Linked DNA regions of Caenorhabditis elegans. The main gene of each other region encodes a partner of the protein of the gene in region 2 in a complex. Each region holds a gene or a part of one and is shown on either strand. Other genes may lie near its edges.

Region 1 (6,116 bases), 8.0 Mb from region 2:
AATGTAAGGATAACGATAATTTTATCGAATAACCTTGATTTAAAACGCAATATTTCAGAAAAGAAGAACAAAGAGTCATTAGAACACCGAAAGTAGATGAACAAGAACTCAAATTGGTCCGTGCGTAAGTTTTATTCGTACGAATATGTGTCCAGACAATAATAATTCATAATTTCAGTCCAAAAATCTCATCCGCTATGTTTATGAAATACAATACACAGCTGGGTCCACCATTTCACGTTATTGTCGATACCAATTTTGTGAATTTCGCCGTCAAAAATCGCATTGACATGTTTCAAGGATTCATGGATTGTCTGTTCGCGAAAAGTGAGTCATACACTTTCTTTCGTTTTCTTGTATTTTATCACAATAATTCAGCTATTGTGTACGCAACTGACTGTGTATTGGCTGAATTGGAAAAAGTGAGAAGATTCAAAATTGCTCTGAAAGTTCTGAAAGATCCACGTGTGCAGAGACTGAAGTGTGAGCACAAAGGAACATATGCTGATGATTGTTTGGTTCAAAGAGTTACACAGGTTCGTTTATTCATAATTTTTCATTGTTTTTCATTTAATAAAATCTAACAAATCTTAAACGAATAAAATCTATTATGACGAGAAGAGGCAGGAGACGGAATGTGGTATTGCTGCAGTCTTTTTGTTTGGCAAACTTGAACAAATAACGAATCTGAAAATGAAAAAAATAATATAATTTTCAGCATAAATGCTATATTGTGGCCACTTGTGATCGTGATCTGAAGCGCCGCATCCGAAAGATCCCAGGAGTTCCGATCATGTACATTGTCAATCACAGATTCTCCATTGAGCGAATGCCTGATGCATATGGAGCTCCAATGAACTAACCTTTTGATGCTTCACGCGTACAATCCTAATCGATACACCTTGGTGGCGAGAAATGAATGAAGAATGAACACGACTGGCTTTGCGGAATTTAGCAAATCCAATTCCTAAATTTTTCATTCATTTATGCTTCTTTTGTTTTGAATATTACTTGTTGATCTGCTTTTATTGTTTTGTTGCCTATCCTTTTTTTTATTCAAAAACTTTACACAAAAAAAATCCGTTTTTTTTCTATAAGTATGAAATTAAGGTTAAAATAAAATCCATTTTTACCTGTTCACCATGTGGTGGTCCAAAATCGACCCAGAGAAAACGACCACCATCATCGCCGGTGGCGCGAATCGTTTCAAACGAATGTTGCCACAGTACCTGAATTGTAAGCTTTAAGAAAATGTAGCTTCTCTAAATGTTATAAATCTTTGTTTTAATCTAGAAAACGTTTATCACTTTCTTATTGCTAAATTATTCCAATGAGCTCACCTCTCCAGTCGACGAAAGTAATGATATTCCATTGTCTAGATTAACTATTAGTTCGCATGATTCGCCTCGCCAAAGACAAGGAGCAGAGACTTGAGATGTAGAAAGACATGCTTCATATCCACCGATCACTACTGCACGAACCCATCGTGCCAGTTCTGCATGAGTTTCTACCCGGATCGTATGTGTCCGAACACCTTGTTGAGTTCCAGTTCTCATACGGAAAGAGATCACATCAGTGAGACCTTTAATTACTGGCGCAGTTCGAGAACTTGTCTGAACGACTCTTGTTGCCACCAGAGGACGTACTAGTCTTGGCTCTGCCCATTCTGCTTTCAGCTGTGGAACAGCTTCATAGAACAAGATCTCACTATTCGTAAGCGTCATAAATTTAGGTTTCCACATTGAAATTCCATTTTCTGATACTTGTTCTGCAATCCAACCCATATGTCTCACTTGGGGGTTGTTACCGAGCATTATATTGACTTGAGCCAGTGCCTGAGTCAGAAGACACGTGGTACAGGCATGTAAAGCTTCAAACCATCCATCTGCTTCTTCACTACTTGAACATCTCATTGCTAGGGAATACCTTCCTGATGGACTTCTCATTTCTAGAATTCTACCTTCTGCATCTGCATCTATTCCAGCTCTTGCCACATATGCAAGCTTTAAACCAATTGTTCTAACTCGTTCCCGAATATCATCATCCCATTCAACATTTTCCACAATATTTTCCCGATGCATCATATCCTCTCTTCTATACTGTACTTGCAAGTCAACAACCCGTCCAGCTCGTTTCAATGCTCTTACAGCTTCTTCGTGTGAAGCATCGAGAAGGTTTTCTCCATTCACAGAGATAATGACGTCATCAAGAAATAGTTCTCCAGCCTGATCCGCTGCCATTCCTTTGAAGATTTTGCTACAATCGAAATTAATTTTGTTCTTTAATTGCTAAATTAAACATTCTATTTCAGAAAAAAAAGTGTCGATTTACGTATCGTGTGTACTGCCCGAGGAGAAGTGTACATTTTTGCAAACAATTTCACAGTTATCGCCTTAAATTCCTAATTTTGGATAATTCGGGAAATACTTTCTGTTTTTGACCGAAAACTGTAAAATCTTCTGAAAAAATTAAATGCTTCTCCACGGGGAGTACACACGCTGAGTAAATCGACACACGATTGTGTACGAGGTTTGCTAGTCCATTCTTCCATTTTTCAGTTATTATAAAAATTTTCTCTAGAGAATTGCCCTTGTCATTAAAACTAAAAATTATTTATCATAGATCAAAATTTCAAAATTGACGTAAAATCACGAAATGGCACACGAGATGTATAAATCTCCGCAAGTTCATTCATACCTGATCACAATAGGCATGTTGTTGTCTCTGCCTCCCTTAATTGAAATTCCTAATCCATTTCCATCATATTTCACAACTCGAACTGTCCGTTTCTCTGCTTCAGCCTCATTCTGCTCCATTGTCTGAAAAATAGTATATTTATTCATCACAGCTTGAACCCATTTCTCTTTGGATTTCACTTCCCTTGCTCATAAATATCCCCTTCCACGTTTCCCGACCAAATTTTAAACAATTTCAAACAAATTCACACATGCTAATGTAATTTTTGGAGGAGACTGAGTAAAATGAAATCATGCAAGCTGGCATACCAATTTGTCAAAAGCCGGAGCTTCGATTGACGGAATACTTGGAGAAGGGGGAGTAGATGACATGACGACTTCTTTTTTGACAAGCAATGGTATATTTTCTTTGTCTTTTCCCAAAATTTCAGTTGGACTGTCATACCAGAGATGAGAAAGATAAGAAAGCAAAAGAGTTATACACATTTTAATACTTGAGAATATATGTCGGAACGAAGAGTTCATATAGACTCCAAGAAGATAATTATTGTAGTCACAGTATACCTTTCTCCATCCGTTTTCTCCTTTTAAGTCGTATCATATACAAACTTCATCTCTAAGTAGCCTCATTCCATTCTTTCTTTTTTCTTCTAGCAAGAACGACTAATAAGTTTTCATAGCCAACTCGCCTCCTTTTTTGAAAAATGAGCCAAAATGTGGCGAAAGGAAAAGAAGAAGAAGAAGCATAGACTATTTGTAATATGATCCCATTCCCGTTTCTGGTTTCCATAGATGGATCTCTTCAGATGATATATTTCGTTCGTGGGCATCAGAAAACTTATGTTCGACGTAATTTCGTAAAAAAATAAATGTTTTATGACGCCAGAATACGGTGCCTGGTCTCGACACGACTGAAAACTTACAAAAAGATTAAAGGATTAAAGGTGTGAAAAATGTGTGTGCGCCTTTAAAACCTACAGTAATCTCCAGACCCAATCTCCAGCAGCTGCTTTTTCTAAAACGAAACAGTCTGCGAAATAGTGAGGATTAGAGCCTACTGTACTTCATAAAGGCGCACATTCTTTTCCGACAAATTTATTTATAACTGCTCGATACGAGGTTCTGGCTCGACCCCGCGCTCCATCGGACGCTGAAATGGCGGGAAAATTTTTTTGAAATCGCAAGAGGAATTTTCACGCAGCGCGTTGAAAAAGTGTATGCATTTGCGCGTGACGGTGTTTGCACAAAATACACCGAGGGGTCGAGCCAGAAACCCGTGCTCGATCGTGTTGAGACACGGTACCGTATTCTTTTGTCTTGAATAGCAAAATTTCGCATTTTGGTATTAATAAGAACGACCACTATTTTTCAGCAACTTGTATCATTCCACATTAGAAAAATGAATGATATTTTATTATACCGAAATTTAAATTATTTAACAATAATTGTTTCAAATATAGATTTTTGTTCGTTTTTAGAAACCATCCAATTTATTTTTAGAATTTCGCGAAAAATGAGTTGTTTTACAATAATTTCCAGTGGTTTTCTAGTTTTCGGAATATTTTATCATTAAAAAATTACTTGTAATGTGATAGCAGTTGGATCGAGAGTAGCCAATACACGATGCCATTGTCCCTGAACAAAAATGTCGACCAGGCCGGATCGAACGGCGGCCATCGAAACGACGCCGATCTAATCGGAGCAATACTACGAAATTGAGCCGATTGTACTCTGTAAAGTTGAATATTGCATATACCAATTTATGCCAAAAATTTGAATTCAAATTCGGGAGGATTTGTAGCGGAATGAAGGAAAGCGAGAAAAAAAACCAGAAGAGAAAGATGCTAAGAAGCAAAGAAACAGAAAGAAAAGGGGCAATAATAGAATATTTGGGCTGTGGGAGCAGCAGAGGAGTCCTCTCTCTTCTATTTCCCCTCGTTTTTCTTCTTCTCTCAACTGCTCTCTTCTCCGTCGGATGAAGCCGGAGAGCTAGTGCGACGGCACTCCTGCTCCCTCTTCTGCCTAACATGCTCTCTGATGAACTCTACCGCGCACTCCGAGTCTCGCTTCTTTCTCTACATCTCACTCTTTCTTTTTCCATCTGACTCTCAGCTTGGTGCCTCGAATTTATATCGGTTATGATTGTGTGTTGGGCGAAGAATCCCGTTGGCTTCCCGCCACGAGACGAACACTTACACACTACGTGACGAACACATGCAATTGTATTGTTGAAGAGAGAAGAAGCAAGTTGATCCTTTATTCTTTTCTTTATTTTCTTTCTCATTTGGTTGTAGTTGTAGTTTTCTGTGTCGTACGATATATTACAACCAATTGCAATTACTACATTAATCAGAAGTATTCCCTTTTACAACTTTTTTTATACAGTGAAAGTTAAATATTATCCAATTTAATTCCTATTTTCGAAATAAATTGAAATTACTATTAGGTGTTCTGTTTTTCGTGATGAAATTTAATTTTCAATTGCTGCTCTAGATACTTTAGCTCTCTAACTACAGTACCCCAGCAGAAATGCAATCTTTAAAAATCTATAGAAAATCCATCTGAAAATCCATCAATGTTTTTTCTTCCAAAAGCTATTCTATTCTGTGTCAAACAATTCTGAAAAACTTGAGAAAAAATTGAATAATTTTAGAATCTTGTTCCTTGATCTTTCTTCAAACATTTAGATCATTGACCGTATCTGATTTCTTTTTCCCTCCCTCCCCTCCACCAGTTATTGTTTCTCAATTTTTTGACGTTGAGCTTTGTTGTGTATTGAGCGAGAGACAAGGAGAGAAGTAGTTTATTACAAGAAAGTGTAAGAAGTAATGAATTATAAAGAGAGGTCGCTTACGCGATAAGTTCATGATGACCCAAAGGTCACGTCTGTATAAAGTTCAGGTTTACGTTCCGTCCACAACATCTCCCCTCTTATATGACAAAAAGCCAGAAATTATGCCTGGGCTAGGGGCATCACGACCAGAGGCGGTATATCGACCTCTGCGGCGAGTGGAGGCATGATCAGTGTTTGGGGCTGATCCTCGCACAACTTGTCGTGGGTGACTCTGTCGAAGAGAATGACACAGGAGGATGCCGGGTTGGAAACGCTCGCCGTCACTCGCAACATCGGATTCCAGCAGGGGGTCCAGATGGGTTTCTTTGATTGGCGAACTTCCAGAAGTATATGATTGGCGACTCTTTGCCACACGGCGACGTCTTCTGTGGCTTTTCTTCAACGAACTCTTGCTCTCCGTAACATGAATCGTAGTTATATTTGCACAAGTAGCATTTCGAGCATTGCCGGCAACCGACGAGACGACTTCACGAGCAGATCGAGAACCAACAGAATCACAAGCTGACAAATCTGGAGCACTAAAACCAAAAACAGAAGAATCTGAAACTAAAACTGGATTAGCTTCC
Region 2 (8,005 bases):
CATCATTTTAGCAGTTTTTTGTGTAAAATTCGTGTAGATCACGGGTAGATCACACAATTTATCTCTTATTTCGTATTTCTGTTTTTTTTTTTTTTTTTTTTTCATTTTGATCTACATCAGGGGTGGGCGGCAAACGATTTTTCCCGGCAATCGGCAAACCGGCAAATTGCCGGAATCGAAAACTTCCGGCAAATCGGCATACCAGCAGTTTGCCGATTTGCCGAATTTGTCGACAAATTAATTTGTCGCCCACCCCTGATCTACACGAATTTTAAACAAAAAAAAACATTCCGCATAAAACCGCCTCCTTTTAAAATTGTGAAAGTGGAGAAACAAACACACGTTAAGCCAAAATTTCTTTCATTTCGTGGCCTAGAAAATCCAAAAACTTAGGCCACTAATTTTCTCTTCCTCATCCACTTCGTAATATCCCTGTGTATAATGCGTATACTTTTACACCTCATTGAGTTGAGACGGATGGGGTGAGGGGTCCCAATGTTTCAGTGGGGGCCCCCTATCTCTTTTTCTCTGCACTCTCTCTCTCTCTCTCTCTCTCTCTCTCTCTCTCTCTCTCCATCTTTCTCCGTATGCTCACATTCATCCCACCGCTGCTCTCTGAGCCAATACGTCTCCCCCCCCCCCCTCCTCTCCTTTTGCACATCGATCCGTCTTGTGTCTCTCTTTCTCTAATACTCTCTATTTCTCTAAGTCTCTCTCTCTCACTCACGTTTGCCTAAATTCACTTTCTCCAGTGTTCCCTTGAGTGCTCCGAGAGCAAAAGCGTATACCACGAATTAATTTTTAATTCGTGTATTTTTGGCTCGATTTTCCCTTTTTTTTCAACATTTTTCTAAAAATTATTGCTGCAATCGCGCTTTAATGGCAATATTACCTGAAAATTCGTATGTTGTTGCAATGCAATCGCGCTCTATTGGACAAATTTTTAATCCGAATTTTGAAGTTTTCTTTAGTGGAAATCTCTATTGAAATTTTTTTATAAATTGTTTATACAAACACGCTCTAATGATAAAAAGGCTTTAAATTGTGTACTCCGCGTGGAAAAAAGCAAGTTTTTTGTTGTATTTTTTGAAAATATTTTTTTTAAAGAACTTTTTTTGAATACTCTGTGTAGTTCTCGTGGACAAGTTTGGGCCTATTTCGCTTAAAAACCTGAAACACGCGAAATTCCAGTTTCGGGGGATTTCAACTACCCGATTAGAAAAAAAACTTTTTTCACAAATTCAATTTCTGCCGAATCAAAATTCTCCGGAATTCAAGTTTCCGCGAATTTCAACCTAAAAAAATTTTAGCTCAAAAACCGTAAGGTAGTTGAAATCCACGGAAACGAAAATTCCGGCGAATCAAGTTTCCGTGGATTTCAACGCTTATTGAACAAATTTCTACAAAACGCCCCCGGGAGTTCAAATCCGCGGAATCGAAATTCCCTGGGATTTTGATTTACCGGGATTCAAGTGGTGTCAATGGGAGAGGAAATGCATTTTCTCTTACGCGCGTGGTGTCAGAGTGTCTCATTTCGGTTTGATCTACGTAGATCTACAAAAAATGAGGGAAAAGAAGAGACGCAGAGTTCTCAACTGATTTCTCATTCCCGCATTTTTTGTAGATCAAGCCGTAATGGGACAACCTGATACCACGTGACCGTTATTATTTTTCTCTCAATCCTGAGATTTAAAATCCCGCGGAGTCGAAATTCCCCAAAAATATTTTTTGTACTCCTCGTGGACAACCTCGTTGGTTCCCTGAAACATATTGGCTTAGTAATGTGCCAAGCAAATCAGCGCGCATACATGCAAAACCCATTAGGCTCCCCCCAAATGTCTTCTCTCCCAGAGTTAGACTCCGCCCACTAGGAGCCAGAGCTCCCCCAATTTTCTTTGTTTTAAACCCTACCACTTTTTAGCTCTGGCCAGCCATTTTGTGGGTGGAGTTTTGGTTTAAATTTTTTTAAAATTGATTTAAAATTTAAATTTTAAATTTCAGACACTCTGGGTTTTTCTCCTGAAATGTTGTGGTCAAATGGTGGAGGAGGACCACGTGAGCCGAGCAGTGCACCATCACCAGACCATCATCGTGCAATGCATTCTGTACCACCAATTGTGGCATCTGAAATGCAACAATTGATTGATGAAATGCGTGGGTGTTCAATTTTGCGGGAAAATTGGCTAAAAAACGCTAAAAAATTCCCGCGTTTTTGATTCTCCGGAATTTTAACTTCTATGGGATTATTTTTCGGTGGATTCGAATTTTCGGAAATTTTCAATAAATCTTTTTTCATTAGAGATTTTCAAAGAAAAAGTAGAAAAAATACCTAACTATGTAAAAAAAATTAACGGAAAATCTCCACGTTTCTAAGTCTTCGGAATTTAGATTTCCCTGGAATTAAGTACTCGGTGGATTTGAATTTACGGGATTTTTTTTCTTTAAAATTTTTTTCAAATTTATGTTCAAGTTAGCACAGCAAAAAAATTTTTTTTTTAATTCACGTTTTTGAATCTACGGAATCCAATTTCCCTGGAATTTCGCTTCCGCGTATTTGGATTTCTGAGTTTTTAAATATAAATTTTTGCAGAAAATGTGAAAATTACGTGGAAACTCAAAATTCGCCGAAAAAGGACAAAAAATCTCGAGTTTCCAATTTAGCGGAATAAAAATTCCCGGGAATTTTGTTTCCGTGGATATTAACTACCCAAATTTTTTACCATTTTTCTCAATTCCAATTTCAATTTTTTCATGGAAAAATTGGTTAAAAAACGCAAAAAATTCCCGCGTTTTTGATTCTCCGGAATTTTATTTTCTCTGGGATTTTTTTTCGGTGGATTTGAATTTTCGGAAATTTTCAAAGAAAAAGTAGAAAAAATACCTTATTATGTAAAAAATTAACGGAAAAATTTCCACGTTTCTAAGTCGTCGGAATTTAGAGTTCCCTGGAATTAAGTACTCTGTGGATTTGAATTTACTGGATTTTTTAAAACAAAATTTATACGAAATGCTCAAAGTTGATACACTCTCCAAAATGTTCATGAAATTTACAAGTTAACACAACAAAAAATGTCAAAAAACTCCGCGTTTTCAAATCCCCCATTATCGAAATTTCACGGGAATCCAGATTCCAGGGAATTTGGCATTCGGGGAATAAAATTTTCGGATTTTTTTCTATGAAAATTAGTCAGGGTCTGGATAAAATAACAAACGAGTGGAAGCAAAAATTTCGCCGCAAAAAGAACAAAAAACTCGAGTTTCCAATTCCGCGGCATAAAAATCCCGTGAATTTTGTTTCCGCGGATATCAACTACCCGACTTTTTTAAAAACATTTTTTCTCAATGCTCAATGTTGTCGAAAAAACACGGAAATACCTTCAAAAAAAATCCAAAAAAAAAACCCTAAAAATTCCGGTATCCAATTCTACAGAATCGAAAATTCCCTAAGAATTTTGTGGATATCAACTACCCGAGTTTTTTTTTGAAAATTCATGAATTTTTCCGCTACTCCTCTTGAGAAAGGGAAGCTTATAAATAATTCTTCTTTGCGAAAAAGTGCAAAAAAATTATTGGCTTTCATTGGTTAATGCCCAAAGTTCAGAAAAAAAGTTGAATCATCAATAGAGCGCATTTTCAGGTCTCCAAGATTTCGACTCCATCAGATTTGCCACGTATCGAGCCGCCTGTAAACTGCGATTTATTCAACAAAAGACGAAAGTTCATTTGGTAGATATTTGGAATATGATTGAAGCTTTTCGAGAAAACGGACTCAATGCATTACCCCTACATACTGTGGTATGTTGCAAGTGTGCTCTATTGAGAATGTGGGGGAAATTTTCAGATCAAAACGTCACGCGCCGAGCTTCTGCTAACTACAGTATTCCACAATTTGAATAAAAGACTTGTAGCGTCACAACATGTGGACACGGATGTATCGATTTCTTTGCTACTCGCGTTTTTGTTAGGTGCTTATGATAAGTGAGTTTTGGACTCCTCTCGGACAAAAAACTCACGCTTCTGAATCCCCGGAACCCAGATTCCCCAGGAATTTAGATTCGGCAAATTCGAAATTCTAAGAATTTTTTCTTGTGTTACTGCGTGAAAACTGTGTATTTAGAATTCCAATTTTTACTGCAAAAAATAACGAAAAATATTCGGGTTTTCGTGTCTCCAGAATCTAGATTCCCTAAGAATTTTGATTCCGCGTATTGGAATCTACGGGATTCAATCTACACATGTTCTGTAAATAACAGAAATTTTGGTAATATATGAAAAAATTTAAAATCCTAAAACTGAAAGAAAATTTCCGGTTTTCGGATCCGCGGAATTTCACATTCCACCGGAATTTGGTTCCCACAGATTTCAACTATCCGAAATTTTTTCTGTTTTTTTTTGTTTTCAGCATAATGTTTTGATTTTTCAAAAATGAAAATTGACTGAAAGAGCAGAAAAAATCTCAGGGTTTCATATCTCTGGAATTAAAATTTCCCAGTGAATTTTTATTCATATAAGGACACTTTGCAAAAAAATTTTTTTTTGATAAAGTCACGGATTTCTGGCTTCCCTCATAAATTGAAATGGAAGAGTTTTTGCCGAACTAGGCCAGTAGATTTACGGCGCGTTGCGTGTCGCGTCGCGGCTCGATTTTAGTTGTAAAACTAAATGTATTTGTCCGTGTGGAGTACACGACTTTCCCGTCCGGCAGGCGATTATCAATGGAGCGCGAAAAATTCAATGAGGAAGGCCAAAACCCCGTGCGCAGTTAGGCTGTAATTCTCACAACGACACTCCGATATTCCGCTACCTAGAAGTGACGTCACACGCTTCAAAAGCCAATTTTTCAGACAAAATACCGGACGTTTGACGGTTTTTTCAATAAAAGTCGCGTTGGCAACACTCTGCGCTGGAAAATTGGTGGACAAGCTGAGATGTGAGTTGCGCTTGCGAATTTCAAAAAAAAATCTGAAATTTCAGACATTTTCTCTCAAATCGCTGATTCGAATGGATTAATGGATCATATTAAATTTACTGATTTTTTGCAACAAATCCTCTCCCTAACCACTGCAGTTTTCGAAGCACCGACGTTTGGATTTTCCGAAAACGCGGTTAATCAGTGCTTTCATAAGGATGAGAAAGTATCTTTGAATGTGTTTCTGGACACTTTTTTGAGGTAGATATCAATTTTGGAAATAAATAAAAAAATAGATTTTAGAAAAAGTTTTGAAAAAGTTTTGAAAAAATTAACCTTTTACACAAAACTACGTTAGCATGTGGTGCCAGGTTGTCCAATTACGGTTTGATCTACAAAAAATGCGGGAATTTTTTCGCCCAAAAAATGTGACGTCAGCACGTTCTTAATCATGTGAAATCAGTTGAGAACTCTACGTCTCTTCTCCCGCATTTTTTGTAGATCTACGTAGATCACGCCGAAATGAGACACTCTGACACCACGCGCGAAAGAGAAAATGCATTTCCTCTCCCATCGGGGGGAAAACCAGTCCCTCAACTCACCCAGAATAATAATTTAGGTGTCTTGGAAGTTCTGAAACACCTAACATTTTGAAAAATTAGAAAAAATAATAGACGTAGGGCTGAAGTCCTCCCGCGGCCACGTAAGGCATCCCCGTGGCCTAGGATTTTCAGAGCGGTGTAACTTTTGAAAAACTGTAAAAATTTTTTTTTAATTCTGCAATAATTGTATCTATAACTTATTCAATGAAACCAAATCAAAAAATCGAATTTTTCTTTTCATGGGGTCACGGGTCCCCACGCCGCCACCGAAGTCCTCGCCGTGGCCTAGAAACTTTCAAACAGTGCATCCCTAAAGCCACTGCGCCGATTTTCTTGAAACTTTATCAGAACACTTTATATAACAATTTCTATCAAATTATCAAATAAAATCGAATTTTAGTTGTCATGGGGTCACGGGTCCCCCCCCCCCCCCCACGGGGTGACCGAAGTTCTCACCGTGGCCTAGAATCTTCAAAATGGTGTAACTCTATAGCCACTGCGTTAATTTTCTTGAAAATTTATCAACCAACACTTTGAAACCTGTTCTGTCAAATTATCAAAAAATCATACAAAATTAATATTCCAGCGATCCATGTCCCCCATGCATAATGTGGCTCCCCTTGCTACATCGAATGGCGTCTGTGAGCAACGTGTACCATCCGGTGGTGTGTGATGCGTGTCAAGTCAGAAGTTTCACAGGATTTCGGTATAAATGTCAGCGATGCGCCAATTATCAGTTGTGTCAAAGCTGTTTTTGGCGGGGAAGGACGAGTCAAAATCATTCAAATGAGCACGAGATGAAAGAATATTCCAGCTATGTGAGTTTTTTGAAAAATCGATTTTCCACGTGGAGTACACGAAAATGTATCTATAAAGCGCGCGATAAAATTATTGATTTTCCGCCGGCGATGAAGAATCGATAAAATTATTGATTTTCCGCCGGCAATCAAAAAAATCGATAAAGTTATCGATTTTCATTCGACAAAAACGATTAGTTAACAGAGAAATTATCAATTGCTGGACAACAAACAATCAATAAAAATGTAGATTTTCCGCCGGCAATCAAAAATCGATGAAATTATTGATTTTCCGCCGGGCAAAAAAAAAATCGATAAAATTATGGAAAAAAGCGTTCTCAACTCCAAAATCAATAAATCAATAACTTAGTAATTTCAGAAATCGCCGACAAAACAGCTCGTACACTCAATTCACAAAAGTCTCCAATGTATTCCTGCCACGTCAACCGTCGGCGATGCAAACATCGATATTTTTAACGCAAAAATCGGTGGCCCGGTCAGCAGCAAACCTGCTCGACCGCTAAACCTGAACAACATCGTCCCGGCGACACCGACGACGATCCGCCGGCAACACGCTGCCACGTCATCAGCGGACTGGCCGACGTCACCGGTACTTCTGCCGGGACAGGCGTCGCATGGAGGAGTTATTGATGATGAGCATAAGCTTATTGCGAGATATGCAGCAAAGTTGTCGGGAAGGGCTGATGTGAGTTTTTAATCGAAAAAAATCAGGAAAAAATCAATAAAAATCTTGATTTCCCGCCGGCAATAAAAATCGATAAAAATCTTGATTTTCCGCCGGCAATAAAAAAAATCGATAAACATCTTGATTTTCCGACGGCAAACAAAAAAAATCAATAAAATTATTGATTTTCCGCCGGCGATAAAATTCGATTAAATTATTGATTTTCCGCCGGCAATCAAAAAAATCGATAAAATTATTGATTTTCCGCCGGCGGCAGAAAGTCAAATTATTGATTTAATAAAATTTGATCGATTATCGATTTTTCTTTTTAAAAATCAATAAATTGCAGTATCCCCTATCAAACGGTCGAAGTATGAATAGTTCAATGGTCGGAGACGAACGGACCCTTATTGCTCAACTGGAAGAAGAAAATTCAATGATGGTACGGGAAATGGCTCGACTGGAGAGCCAAACAACTTCCGATGACGGGCTCGCCGGGCTCCGCGACCGGAAAATGGAATTGGAAGAGAAAATGTTTGAAATGCAACAGAGGAGGAGAGAATTAATGATGCAATTGGAGCATTTAATGGCTCAGTTGAATGTAGGTCATACCTACTGTGGCTAACGCGCTCTATAGATAAACAATGTAAAAATCGATAATTTTGCAGAATTCAAAAACAATCGTTATATTTTCCTCCAAATTTAGAAAAAATACTTGATAATTTTCAAAAAATTCGAAAAATCGATAATTTTTATATTTTAAGAAAACAAAGTTTTTGGAGTTTTTGATTTTCCGCCGGAGATAAAATCGATAAAATTATTGATTTTCCGCCGGCGATAAAAACCGATAAAATGTGTAAACCTGTCGATTTTTTAAGCTTCAGTAAAAATCAAAAATTCAATATCGGCTTTTCTGAAAAATTCAACCTTCAAAAAATCAATAAAATTAAATTATCGATTTTTTGATTTCAAAACAACAAAAACCTTTTCCAGACGGGACCCCAACCATCAG
Region 3 (4,754 bases), about 10 Mb from region 2:
TTGAATGCCTACCTATGTACCTATCTTGTGCCTACCTACCTATTACGGGACCATGAGATGAATGCCTATTTACTGGCGCGAAAATATTGACAGGCCGCGGCAGCGAGAGAGCATATGGCGAAGAGAGACGCCGGTCCCTTCGCTACGAGATATTTGCCGCCAGAAAAGTAGGCATTCTCATGATCTCATTGTCCCGTAATACCTACCTACTTGCCTTCGCGCCTACTTATAACCCATTTTGACTTACCGCATTGAAGCTCTAACTCAAGTGAATTACTGGAAAATAGATAATTCAGTGTTGACAGTTCTTGTAGGAAGGAAAGTCTTCATCACTGCCTGCCTGCCTACACGCTTGCCTATCAGTTTTTTAAAACCTACTAGGCAGTCAGGTAGTCAATCTTGTGCCTAGGCGTAAAACTGCTGTAACTCGGCTCAAAATCTTCATTTTCAAATAAAATAAAAAGTGAATGATTTCAAAAATTTTCAAAAACTTTCAAAATTGAGAAACAAAAATTTTGACCGCAGCGGGGGGTCGAACCCTGGTATGTTTTTCCGTAGCTGTGCACCTATTCTCCACTAAGCCACTTTGCCCAAAACAGTTTTTTCGTGGTTTTTCAGCGTAGAATTCGATTTTTTTTTTGGTTAGAAATAGTAACCTTTTGGATTCAGAAGCCTTGGCACATTCCATGTCTTTTCAGCGACAGCAAAAGCGTTTTCAATCCTGTCGATGGCACTCATTTCGGCGGTTTTTGTGAGGTTTATCAGTTTTCGGCTGAAAATGTTCAGGATTTCGGGCTCGAAACTATATTAACTGTGTTTGTCGCACTGAGAGCTTTCATTTGAGTATAATCATGATTAGTTTTGGAAAAAGTTGAATCCCGCCACGAAAATCACATGGGTACTGTAGTTTTCGCGGCGAGACCCTCTCTAAAATTCTTTTTGATGGGGTTCTCGAGTTCTACACGCCGAAACCTTTCAAATGACACCCATATTGCTATACTTTAAAATATTAAATTCCAGGGCCTATGTTTTCCAAATTTGAAGTCCCAGTGAGTTTTCTAGGCCATGTAGTGAAAAGTTAGGCCACCAGCTTGAACATTTCGGAGCCTAGGCATTATGGGTGTCAAATAGACTGTAATGAAATGTTGAATTTAAATTTGATATTGAATTAAAAAAAAATAAGATTAAAAGTTGTTTTGGAAAATTTAGAATTGAAAAAATCCAAAAAAATGTGTTTTTTTTTTGAAATTTTTGAATTTTTTTTCGAATAAAACCATGTTTCATGGAATCTAGAAACTCTTGAAAAACTGATTATCAATAAATTAATTTCTAATGAAAAACCCTTACTCATAAGAATGTATGAGGTAATTGAAGGCATGGCCGTCCCGGAAGGAAGATGTAAAGTCGTAGACGTCAATTTCTTCGTATGATTTCATGACTTCAATGCACCATTGTTTGATGGCTTCGGAGAGCTGAAATTTGAAAATTTAATAGAAAAAATTCTAGGAAAAAAATTTTAAAAAAAATTTTCGAAATTTTTTTTTTCAAAATTTTTTATTTATTTTTTAATTTTTCAAACCCCCGTAACTTTATCAATTTTAAAGATTTCCACTTGATTTTACACTCAAAAAACTCACCTTTTCCTCCCGTAACTGCACGGGTGCATTATTTTTCCAGAAAAACTGAACAAGCTGCCACCAGGCTGAGAGCACCGCTTTCTGCTGCCCTTCCATAACTTCCTGCGGATTCGTCTTGGAATCCCCGATATTTTGCAAAACATTAGGCCAATCGTCGGATGGATTACCCAGTACAGCCATAGTCTGTCCAATAATTGCTTGGTAGACAAAAATCGCGTTTGAACCATCTTGAAGGCTTTTGTAATCGGTTAGACGTTCTGTTCCGAGCAGGTGATTGGCCCAGCGCACGAATACCCACTCTTGGAGCTCATTTTTTGGGTCTGAAAATTTTATTCATAGCTTTTAACGTTCAAATTCAAATTTTCCGTCAAAAACTCTACAAATCGGTTTTTGAAAAATCGAAAAATATGAATTTTGAGCAGATTTACAGTTTGGTGGCCTAGTTTTAGATTTCTAGGCCAGCAAAATTTCTAGATCAGCATAAAATATGTTCAACAGAGTATTGGTGGCAACAGTTAGTTCTCTTCAAGAAGTTTGCTAGAAAAATGGCATTTGTTAACTAGTGGCCTAGAAATCCAAATTCAGGCCACCCAATTTGACTCGCTGGCCTAGGTTTGCTTTTTCTAGGCCACAAAAATAATTTTTCATTATTACAATGCTTTTCACTGACTTCTGCACGTTCATAGCTTTCACATGACACCAATATTGCCATACTTTGGAAATTTTATTCCATGGCCTAACTTTTCAGTTGGTGGCCTAGAATTTTTACTTTTTTAGAAATTGCTAAATTTTATGAAATTAAATTTTAAGAAGCACACAATATTACTGTTTCACTTTAAAATTCTACAAATTTTATCTTACTGGCAAAATTTAAAATTGGTCGCCTAGAAATTCCTCGGCCACCAACAACTTAAAACTCCCAGAACCTATTTGAAATTCAATTTTTGAATTTTTGAATACTCCTAACAAGGAATAAAAACTAAGAACATTTCAAAAATCTGAGCGTCTAAAGTCCAGGCCCAAATGCATTTTCTCGGTCACGGCTTGAAAAGTTAGGCCACCAACTCAAAATAGTCGGATCCTAGGCATGATGGCTGTCAAATTGAAGGTCTCGGTAAGACAGAAACAAATATAAAATAAATGTATGCTGAAAACTATGTTGGTGGCCTGGAAAATCAAAAAAGGTAAATTTCTATGCCATTTTTCGGGGATTTTTCTTTTTTTTTTTGTCTTAAAAATTTTTCAAAAAACTCACCGCGATCACTTTTCTTGTCCTTTTTCTCGTCTTTTTTCGGTTTCGCAGTCGAGGCGCCCGAGAATAACATGGTGTTGTTGCACTTTTTCGTTCGTTTTCGCCTATTCTATACACCAATTGGCATCTGAAATTGGGATTTTTATTAGAAAAAAAAATTAAGTTGTAGAATATAAAATTATTTTTAAAAAACGTGGGGTTATTCTAGAAGTTTTCCAAAAAATAAAAGTTACGAAAAAAGAACGAAATTTTCTGGAAAATTTTTTATTTCTAAAAAAAAATTCAAAGAATTCAAAGAAAAAAATATTGCTAAAAATGAGTAACAGTGACAAAAGTGTAAGTTTTTCTATTTTAGTTTTTCTAATTTCAAAAAATTTAGAAAATTTGAAGAAAAATTTAAAAACGAAATATTGGTGGCCTAGTTTTAGTTTTCTAGGCGACCAATTCGAGTTTTTCAAGTAGATTTTTGTGAAGAGCTAATTGTGAGTAAACCCTTTAATTTGACAATATATTGATTTAAAATTTAAAGTTGGTGGCCTAGAAAAACATAGGCCACCAACGAAAAAAAAACCAAAATGGGTGAAGCTCTATTCATGTTAAATTTAACGTGACACATCAACATTTAAAAAAAAATCAAGCTGATTTTAGTGGCCTAGAGAACCAATCCTAGGCCAGCAACACAAGAAAATTTGAATTTCTAGGCCACCGAAGCCAGTTCTGCGAAGACAATTTGGACGCATTGTGCGAACGACGGGTCGGACAGAAGCATTTTATCCGATTGGATGGATCACAGTTTTGGAGCAGAAAAAGAGCACAATTTGGAGCATGATTTGACGGAATTTGCGCAAATTCCTTTTCGTTGTGCAAATGACTATGAGATTTGTGCGAAACAATCGGAATATGCATTTGATATCTCTAATTATTGATTTTTTCAAAATAAAAATTTTGAAGGAAAATACAAAAATTCAACAAAAAATATGGCTTGAAAAAACTGAAAATGATAATTTTCAGCCAAGTTAGAGCCTTGTGAAGTTGATAGTCTAGAAATTTTCTAGGCCACCAACTTCAAATTTCTCTAATTTGGCTCAATCATCTTGGGTCTAACAAAAACTTTTTTAAAATCATTTCAATAAAAAGGGATATATTTTTAAAAAAAGCATGTGGCCTAAACTTTTTCATGGACAAAGTTCTAGGCCACGAAATCGAAAAGTTAGGCCATGAAAAAGATGAGGCAAAATATGAGTGTGACTACTGAAAGTTTGGAACGTGTGTGAAATTCATCGGAAAAGTTGAAAGAAAAATTGGTGGCCTAGAACATCAAAACTAGGCCAGCAACTGAAATTGTGTGGCCTAACCAAATCTTTCAATTAAACATTCCAGAAAATCCTAGGCCATCTAATTCAAATTCGCAAAAAATGTTTTAATTTTAAGTTAAAAGAAAGCAACTTGAATTTTCGAAATTCTAAGCCACCATACCAAAAATGTCAAGCTTTTAAATTCAAGTTCGGCTGCCTAGAAAACAAAAACTAGGCCATCAAATATATTTTTAACAGACTTGGAAGCAATTTTTAACCTCAAAAACACAAAAAAATAATAACGGCACGTCTACCACACTCTCGTAGGAAATAGTAATGGAAAAGTGTGTGTGTGTGCTCCCGGAGCATTCCCGTGTGTGCACGAGGGGACCCCTCAATCCGTCAGCTGCCGTCGTCAGTCAATTGTTACAATGCACCATCCTCTTGGACATACCCCAACGGCATTTGATGATGATTCGGACATTTCCTGGGAGCTGCTACTTTTGCTGATGTGCTCCGCGAGCTCTACTATCAAAATTTTAGAGGGGACATTTGAGAATTGGGTTGTTA

Evidence for each region. The genes of interacting proteins can lie anywhere in the genome.
Region 1: dyb-1 (region 2) and stn-1 share a complex: the UniProt entries of both Caenorhabditis elegans proteins name them as parts of the dystrophin glycoprotein complex.
Region 3: dyb-1 (region 2) and dys-1 share a complex: the UniProt entries of both Caenorhabditis elegans proteins name them as parts of the dystrophin glycoprotein complex.

Annotation. Positions count from the first base shown.
Region 1 is NC_003279.8:9,499,579-9,505,694, reverse strand, and holds stn-1 (Syntrophin-1), read right to left. Parts: upstream 4,428-6,116; 5' UTR 4,374-4,427; coding exon 4,278-4,373; intron 2,820-4,277; coding exon 2,698-2,819; intron 2,257-2,697; coding exon 1,341-2,256; intron 1,293-1,340; exon of another isoform or gene 1,230-1,292; coding exon 1,134-1,229; exon of another isoform or gene 968-1,133; coding exon 875-967; 3' UTR 864-874; exon of another isoform or gene 863-863; coding exon of another isoform or gene 719-862; intron 688-718; 3' UTR 537-687; downstream 1-536. Other genes in the region: F30A10.9 (PIN domain-containing protein), read left to right, coding at 1-3, 59-124, 179-327, 379-536, 719-862. UniProt on the Caenorhabditis elegans protein: Adapter protein that binds to and probably organizes the subcellular localization of a variety of membrane proteins. May link various receptors to the actin cytoskeleton and the dystrophin glycoprotein complex (DGC).
Region 2 is NC_003279.8:1,481,082-1,489,086, forward strand, and holds the start of dyb-1 (Dystrobrevin-1), read left to right. Parts: upstream 1-2,001; 5' UTR 2,002-2,024; coding exon 2,025-2,154; intron 2,155-3,637; coding exon 3,638-3,795; intron 3,796-3,841; coding exon 3,842-3,978; intron 3,979-4,772; exon of another isoform or gene 4,773-4,844; coding exon 4,845-4,930; intron 4,931-4,974; coding exon 4,975-5,170; intron 5,171-6,097; coding exon 6,098-6,329; intron 6,330-6,525; exon of another isoform or gene 6,526-6,546; intron 6,547-6,687; coding exon 6,688-7,014; intron 7,015-7,342; coding exon 7,343-7,594; intron 7,595-7,986; coding exon 7,987-8,005. UniProt on the Caenorhabditis elegans protein: Plays a role in cholinergic transmission and as a functional partner of dystrophin (dys-1), necessary for muscle maintenance. Required for localization of ctn-1 near dense bodies in muscle cells.
Region 3 is NC_003279.8:11,554,831-11,559,584, forward strand, and holds the start of dys-1 (Dystrophin-1), read right to left. Parts: upstream 3,022-4,754; 5' UTR 2,963-3,021; coding exon 2,893-2,962; intron 1,958-2,892; coding exon 1,638-1,957; intron 1,473-1,637; coding exon 1,348-1,472; intron 773-1,347; coding exon 657-772; intron 1-656. Other genes in the region: F15D3.9 (SAM-dependent methyltransferase), read left to right, coding at 3,205-3,225, 3,591-3,815. UniProt on the Caenorhabditis elegans protein: Plays a role in cholinergic transmission and as a functional partner of dystrobrevin (dyb-1), necessary for muscle maintenance. Required for neuronal positioning. May play a role in the localization of slo-1 near dense bodies in the muscle.